Daphnia pulex: one gene and its partner. The protein of the gene in region 1 purifies or fractionates together with the protein of each later gene. This does not show direct contact. Links are inferred from orthologs where the notes say so. Each region holds a gene or a part of one and is shown in the gene's direction. Other genes may lie near its edges.

What was found. The genes of interacting proteins can lie anywhere in the genome.
Region 2: the proteins of bone morphogenetic protein receptor type-1B-like (region 1) and protein mothers against dpp-like purify together in Drosophila melanogaster (affinity purification with western blotting; 3 studies listed by BioGRID). This does not show direct contact. The link is inferred for Daphnia pulex from reciprocal best matches to the Drosophila melanogaster genes tkv and Mad.

What each region holds. Positions count from the first base shown.
Region 1 is NC_060020.1:1,950,213-1,954,437, forward strand, and holds bone morphogenetic protein receptor type-1B-like, read left to right. Parts: upstream 1-1,425; 5' UTR 1,426-1,444; coding exon 1,445-1,604; intron 1,605-1,702; coding exon 1,703-1,887; intron 1,888-1,953; coding exon 1,954-2,180; intron 2,181-2,245; coding exon 2,246-2,384; intron 2,385-2,456; coding exon 2,457-2,649; intron 2,650-2,719; coding exon 2,720-3,017; intron 3,018-3,087; coding exon 3,088-3,448; intron 3,449-3,516; coding exon 3,517-3,684; 3' UTR 3,685-4,039; downstream 4,040-4,225.
Region 2 is NC_060025.1:5,191,140-5,195,171, forward strand, and holds protein mothers against dpp-like, read left to right. Parts: upstream 1-1,232; 5' UTR 1,233-1,584; exon of another isoform or gene 1,585-1,615; intron 1,616-1,669; 5' UTR 1,670-1,677; coding exon 1,678-1,908; intron 1,909-2,025; coding exon 2,026-2,488; intron 2,489-2,577; coding exon 2,578-2,886; intron 2,887-2,954; coding exon 2,955-3,195; intron 3,196-3,264; coding exon 3,265-3,424; 3' UTR 3,425-3,972; downstream 3,973-4,032.

The sequences.
Region 1 (4,225 bases):
CCAAGCACCACCAACTATATTAGTTATAGCGTATATATATTCGTTTGAGTGTAAAAATAAGTTTATGGGCTGTGGTATAAATACATAGGACCTATATAAGACTATTTCCGGTTCTTATAGGTTATAATATATTTTATCCTAAGACGATTATTTCTTTTCTTTTTTATTGCAAGATGAATTAATAAAGGAAAAGAAAAATGATTTTGTTGTTGTTGTTGTGTTCGCTTGGGTGATGTTCCTGATGAACGACCCTATGCTGTATTATAGAGCAGGATATACAGCCTGTATATCCTACGTATATACACCGGATGCAAACAAAGAGCCTTAGTTTCGTTTTCCGGAGAAAAACTGGCCTGTATAGTCATCAGTCTAATGGTAAATAAAAAAAATTGACTAAACCCGTTTCAAAAGTTATATATTCTACAAATGCGTTAGTATCTGCCACTTGAACGTGTTTTGACGTCAGACGTACAAATAAGAATTGTTAAATACTCTTTCTCGCTTTCCCTGTTACTAATTTCGTTGCCAACGACAACTGCGCTCGTAAATCCTCCCGTTGCCGGCAACATTAAAGTGAGTAACAACACAAACTTGACTTTTTATACATTTATTTTCTTGTGTGCACAGCAGAGACCCCTTTGTTATTCTATTCACGTTCGCATGGCCACTGATGTCCTCGTCCCATATTGACGCACAACAGAATTCCCGCTAACTGTGTTTAAGGCGGTCGCGTCGATCAATGGGAAGCACAATGGTTTTAAAACAATCGAAGAAATGTTGACGAGAATATAAGAGTTATACACTTTAACTTTAACTGCAACTAACTTTTTATACGGTTATAATAACAACATAAGTATTACCTAACATCCTTGCGACCCACCCCGACGACGATTTAGGAAAAACAACAATAAAATGTAGGCCTAATGTGAAAAAAAACCTATAGGAAGTTGCCAATTTGCTTGAAGCTGATGGACTTTGGTACGGATCTAGCGGCCATTCACAGCAGTTCCGGAATGCCGGATGCGTGGCTCCTGCTGACGGTCATTCAGGAAATGATCAGTTTAGCGATTAAACGGGTTTCTATACTTTCGTCACGGGATGAGGCTATACTACATCTATAGGCCCATAACCATAATAACATCACGCGATGGTCGGTATATTGCCCCAAGAAAATGGAGAAAGCTGTACCGGTCATTTGAAAGCGTTTTCTCGAAATTATATTTTAGATCATTTAGATATACGTATAGGCCTAAATATGTTCTTTGTATATAAATAAATAAGTAGTGCAAGCAAATGCCAAGATCGAATCATATGCCGTCACCAAGAACGATGTTTTCAGCAGTTGTTTTCAATTTTTGAAATCAATATTTAATCTTACCGCTAGATGTCTCTATCCTCTTAAGTTTTTCTTTCTTTTCTTCAAGAAATCCTTTTCCTTATTCTTATGATGCTTACCCTGCCGCCGACCCGCCATAGTTCTGTAGATTTCTTTTTTGGAGGTGCCCGTGAGAAGTTTTGCAAAATGGCTGACATATTAGAAACATACAAAAAATATCAGAGTTGTTTATTATGGGTTCTGGTGTTGACTTCAAATATCAGATGCGGTAGGACACGTTTGCAAATTTTTTAAAAGAATGGAAAAATGTTTTTTTTTGTCTATTGAAATATTTAGAACTACCAATGTTTTTATTTGTCTCTTCAGGATATGGTCTCACATGCTATTGTCAAGGGCATTGTCCTAATGACAATTTTAATGGCACATGTGAAGCTAGACCTTTCAGCCAGTGCTTTGCTGCGGTGGAAGAGGTATACAATCCTGACACAGGTTTGCCAGAACCTGAATACACTTATGGCTGTTTGCCGCCAGAAGAAAAAGGTCTCATGCAAGTATGTTCTTGCATTTTATTTGACCAACGAATTTCACTTACAGTTTTCTCATGAATTTGATTACAGTGCAAAGGCCACCTTGTTCCTCATTTAGTACCCAAATCAATACAATGTTGTTACCAGTCTGACCATTGCAACAGATTGCTATCTCCTATGTATGAAATACGCAGTACTACACCTGATCCCAATTCAGGGTTGGGGTCTGATGAAAATGTTCACTATTTGGCCTTACTAGTTTCAGTCACAGCCAGTGTGATCATTCTGTTTGTTATGGTTGTTTGTGTCTATCTGCAGTAAGTTGTTTTGCTTAATCTAATGTTCTGAAAAATTATCAAGTTTAAATATTATTACTTTACAGTTACAAAAAGAAAGAGGATAAAAGACAAGTTTCCATTATCAAAGCTCCTTGTGTACCATACCTTGGAGGAAATTCAACAATCAAGGACATGGTGGACCATAGCCAGAGTTCTGGTTCTGGTTCTGGTTTACCTTTACTTGTAAGAAATTGTGATCTAATTTATCAATTTAATAATAAGCTAAAACCATGTTGTTTTTGTTTTTTTAATTAGGTTCAAAGAACAATAGCCAAGCAGTTAGTTATGGGCCATTCCATAGGTAAAGGCCGATATGGTGAAGTTTGGATGGCCAAATGGAGGGAAGAAAAGGTTGCTGTCAAGGTGTTTTTCACAACTGAAGAAGCTTCTTGGTTTAGAGAAACAGACATTTATCAGACTGTACTCATGAGACATTCACACATTCTTGGTACAGTTTTTAAATATATTTTTATTTGGTACCCTTTAAATTAATTATGAATTTAAAACAAAAACTTTAGGTTTCATTGCTGCTGATATCAAAGGAACAGGCTCCTGGACACAGATGCTACTCATTACCGACTATCATGAACTTGGATCTTTACACGATTTTCTTCAACAATATTCTCCTGACGGAGTAGCAGCTGGAAGGTTAGCATTTACTGCCGCTAGCGGATTGGCTCATTTGCACACGGAAATCTTTGGTACCAGAGGAAAACCGGCCATTGCTCACAGAGATATTAAGAGTAAGAATATCTTGGTGAAAAGAGATTGGACATGTGCCATTGCTGATTTTGGTTTGGCTGTCAGATATATAAGGTACGAATTCAACAGCCAAATAAGCGAACAACCGAGTAATCCTCATGCTTTTTCTTTTATTATTATTTAGCGAATCCCAAGAGATCGATATTGCACCAAATACCCGTGTCGGAACTCGTCGCTACATGGCTCCTGAAGTGTTAGACGAAAGCTTAAACAAATTTTCTTTCGAGGCCTTTAAGACAGCTGATATTTATTCGTTCGGTCTTGTTTTGTGGGAGATTGCTCGTCGATGTAACACGGCCTCAAGCACAGTTAGCGAAATCATAACAGACGAGAGCCAAGAGAAATTGGTCACCTATGGCCCCGATGACTACCAACAACCGTACTATGATTGCGTTCCTTCTGATCCATCTTTCGATGACATGTACAACGTGGTGTGTGTCAAGAAAGTGCGACCGGATATCCAACCGCACTGGCTCACCGAGGAGGTAAGCCTAAAATCATAATCTACTATACTTTTATATTCCTAATTATATTTTTTATTTGTGCCCTTAAGCCCCTGAAAACTTTAGCTCAAGTGATGCAAGAGTGTTGGCATCAAAATCCGGCCGCCCGATTGACGGCTTTACGCGTTAAAAAATCTCTTACTCGCATCAACGACGAATCTGACATGTACATGTACATCGAAAAGTATAACGACAAAGAAATGCTACCATCCGTTTAATTCACTGTTGTAACATTGCAAGTCTTTGAATCTGAAGTTTGACCAAGGTGTTCTTAAAATTACTGAAATTTTTCTTAGTGCGTTCTTTTGACAAGTGTTTGTTTGTAAATAATTTGCGCGTGAAAGGGTTTTCTGAATGTGAATCGTTTGTCGTTTCGTTTTGATATTGCTCCACTGCAACTGCCGTGCCATTAATAATTGTTGCCTCAAGCCTTAAAACGGATTCAAACAAAACTGTTGGGTGTCTTAATTAACTAAAACAATCGTCTCCCTTTGCTCATGTTATTACTCTTCCATTGCTTCCAGGAATCGTTTTATTCTCTTTTAACGTGTAAATACAATGAATTGAATCAGCGGTTTTTAATAATGATTTTTTTTTTTCATGACCGTTTAATTCAAATTTTCACAAACTTGTCGATTCAATGTAATTTTTCTCTTGCAAATATTATTGTCGTTGCTGAGGAGTGAAACCAAATGATCTATACATACCTTGCCAGTATACATTAAGAATGAATCAATGAAACCTTGAATGAGTTGAATC
Region 2 (4,032 bases), on another chromosome or scaffold:
TGTGAAATGAACCAGTTTGCAATGTTCGTTTGTCAAGCAATCCTTTATTCCTTTGATTGTTATTGCGATACACGAATTTACGACTCCACGACACTACACCTGACTACACATAAGGGGAAGTGGATAAAGTGTGGGTGCGGAATGCAGGACTGCAGGAGTACTTCATGCAGCCTGCTGCCTGCAGGGTTGCTTGTTTTTACTTTTTGTACGCATAAATAGGCCTCAAGCGAGTATGTTCAGTCAGGGTCTCAGGGAGTCAGGTTCAGGATCAGAACTAACATTTCACATTTCGATAAAAGTGATTGAGGCGGCTCGGCTGAAAAGTGAAAACGTTTATAATAATAAAGTTGGCTAAAAATGGTCGCGGGAAAAAACAACTTTTTAAAAACAAGTTCTATTTTTTGTTATACTCTTTTTTAAAAAATGTGAGCCATCTCAAGTTTAGACCATAAATCCATCAATGCTGAACGACAGGGACGATTTTAATCATTTTCCCAGTTGATTTGAACATCGTAATTTAGCGGATGTCTATATGTAGAGTAGCTTTTCTTGTGCGTTTCGCCGTTTCATACGGGAAAATATTGAATCTTCGGAATGGTTTTTACGCATCTTTGTTTGCGATTCATACGTAACGGCGCGCGGCTGATAAGGATAACGGGTTACGTTAGATTTAATAGTCACTAAAAATTGGAGCTTCGTGAATGTTCCCCATAACCTTGCTATTTTGTGAAAATAATTTGTGCTAGTGGTTACAGCACTAGACTGAATACGGTACTCTTGGGTCTGTTGTTTTTCCGCCCCTCGTTATGTCGTTACACAATTAAGCCCCATTACCTCCATTAAGATATTAAGACTGAACAGATAAATGATTTGGCTTAACTACTCAATAAATTAATTTTAATTTATTATATTTTAAATAATTTGACTTGAGAAAACATTCGATTCCCTGTGCTGCTGAATCTGAAATTCCAGAAAATACTTTGAAAATTTGTTGTAACATATTATCGCGATTAAATAATCGATTTTGGTCTTTTAACTCTCGTTATTTTATTTTATAAGATTATAAATACAGTTCATAATGCACTAAAAATTCCAAATGCTTTTGCAATTAGGTTTTTATCGAGTATAGAACAGTTGTTACTAGGCCTATATCAGCATCATTTTATCAAAGCAAAAAGCAAGAAAAAAACGTCTCTTGTTGTTAATCGATCAAAGCAAAAATCGAACGAATTTTGTGCTACGATGCCACACTTTACGTTTATGTAATTTCAGAAGTGCGTCATGCCATTCTTTATGAAAAATTTCCCAACTTTTTAATGCATCTCTTCTAGATTTGGAACAAAAATCAATTTAGTATTCGCGCAGTTACTAGTATGAATACGTTGTTGTGATTGTCATTTTAAAATTGTTGCCTTCGCTTCAGTATACTTGAGGTTGAGGCAGAGGCGCAGAGCTTGAGGTTAAAAGCGGGCAAGCGCTCAACAGATATTTGGAGAGGCGTTGACACGTTGTAAACTGTTGATTCTGGAACCACCTGCAATTAACAATTTAGCGTCAATTATACATCATTTTGGAGAGTGGCAAGTAATAACTTCGAACATCCTGATTCATTGAGGTTTAAAGAATTTAAATTTAATGTGATTGATGACTTATTTTTTTACAATTTCAGATTAGAAGATGTCTGCACTTAACAGCCTTTTCTCATTTACAAGCCCAGCAGTGAAAAAGTTGCTTGGTTGGAAACAAGGAGATGAAGAAGAAAAATGGGCTGAAAAAGCTGTTGACTCCTTGGTAAAAAAATTGAAAAAGAAGAAGGGTGCCATAGAAGAGTTGGAGAAAGCACTTAGTTGTCCTGGACAACCGAGTAAATGTGTTACTATTCCAAGAAGTTTAGATGGTAGATTACAGGTAAAGAGTACTTGATGCTATCTTAAAATTTTGCATCTACTGACTTTTTGTCATTTGTTCTTCATCCTCTAGCTATTTTAATTGTAAAAAGTTACATGTTTCTCAATTGTGTTCCAGGTTTCACACAGGAAAGGTTTGCCTCATGTGATCTACTGCCGTGTGTGGCGTTGGCCTGATTTGCAATCTCATCATGAATTAAAACCCTTAGAAATCTGTGAATATCCATTTTCCTCTAAGCAAAAGGAAGTTTGCATTAATCCTTATCATTACAAAAGAGTTGAAAGTCCAGTGCTTCCACCTGTTCTTGTGCCAAGACATTCAGAATTTGCTCCCGGACATTCACTTTTACCTTTTCAACAGCTACCTGAACCAGCAATGCCTCATAATGTCTCTTACTCAGCTCATGGTTTTGGAAACCAATCTGTTGGCTTAACTCAAGCACCTGGACCTTCAAGCACTAAAAGTATGGAGAGGCCTGTGACAAGTGCATTAAGTACCCTTTCTGTTAGTCCCAATCCTACGTCGCCCATGAGCAATGTTTCAAGTCCTGCCCCAAACAGCCCTTACAACAGTTTACCAGGTCAGAGGAAACATTCATTAAATCATTTTTGTCCAACACTAGAATCTTTTGCATGTATTAATTTGTATGTGTATTTTCATTTGATTTAGCTGAAACTCCACCACCAGCCTACAGTCCCCATGATGAAAATGCTTCATCCCAGGAACCCATGGATACAACACAGGGACCAGTGGGAGACCTTGCTCCTGTGGCTTACCAAGAACCCATATATTGGTGCAGCATTGCTTATTATGAATTGAACTCTCGAGTTGGCGAAGTATTCCACGCCCAATCTCATTCAATAATTGTTGATGGATTTACAAATCCTGATAACAAATCTGATCGTTTCTGTCTTGGTCAACTCTCGAATGTCAATCGTAACTCAACCATCGAAAATACGCGCCGTCATATTGGCAAAGGTTGTATCTAGCATCTAGCTTTATTTACCATGTTTCACTGTGATAATAATAAATTTTATTCCAATTAGGTGTTCACTTGTATTACGTTGGAGGTGAAGTTTATGCCGAATGTCTATCCGACTCTGCTATATTTGTTCAGTCACGTAATTGCAATCACCATCATGGATTTCATCCCACAACTGTATGCAAGATTCCTCCTGGATGTTCCCTTAAAATATTCAACAACCAGGAATTTGCTCAGCTTCTGTCACAATCAGTCAATCATGGTTTTGAAGCAGTCTATGAGCTCACCAAAATGTGCACAATAAGGTAGCTATTAGCACACAATCGCTAAATTGTATTTCATTCATCGACATGTTATGAATTGTCACCTTTCAGGATGTCGTTCGTCAAAGGGTGGGGTGCCGAATATCACCGTCAAGATGTTACAAGTACGCCATGCTGGATAGAAATTCATCTTCATGGACCATTGCAATGGCTGGATAAAGTTCTCACTCAAATGGGCTCACCGCACAATCCTATTTCATCTGTCTCATAAGGCTTTCAACCTGCATCGTGTTTTATCATGGGAATTATTTTGTTTATCAACGACAATCTACGGTAATAAGCAAGGCTGCGTCAGTGTGAGACGAACGTAGATATGTGGCAGCCTTGTTGCGGATATATTTCAATGCCGATAGTCTATTTTTCACTGTTGAACAATTCACACATCAATATTAAATTGTGAGTAAATTTTGCTTTCACCTCCCTTTAATGTAAACTGAAGGGATGCTGCTTTTTTATGTTAACTTCCTTTAGCGACAAGTTTTCGTGTTTTTCATCTATTCGGATAGGGACACCATTATAACATTATGTGCCATATTCTCCGAGTTTGCTCATTTGGATTTGAAGAAAATTCGAAGTGTGGGATCCAACCACTTAAAAAGGGAAACATCAATTTTAAAACAACATTCTTGCTGATTGATTTTTCATGAGGGTGAATGACAATTCTTTGATAATGGTAGAGATTCATTATGTGCTTTGACGTTCAAAATTGTTCTTTAACTATGTACTCGTACCATTTTATTAATAAATGACGAAATCTTATTAGGTTTTATGTGTTCATTTTTTTTTCCCGAATTGGAATAGTCCACCGAGAAGAGCTTT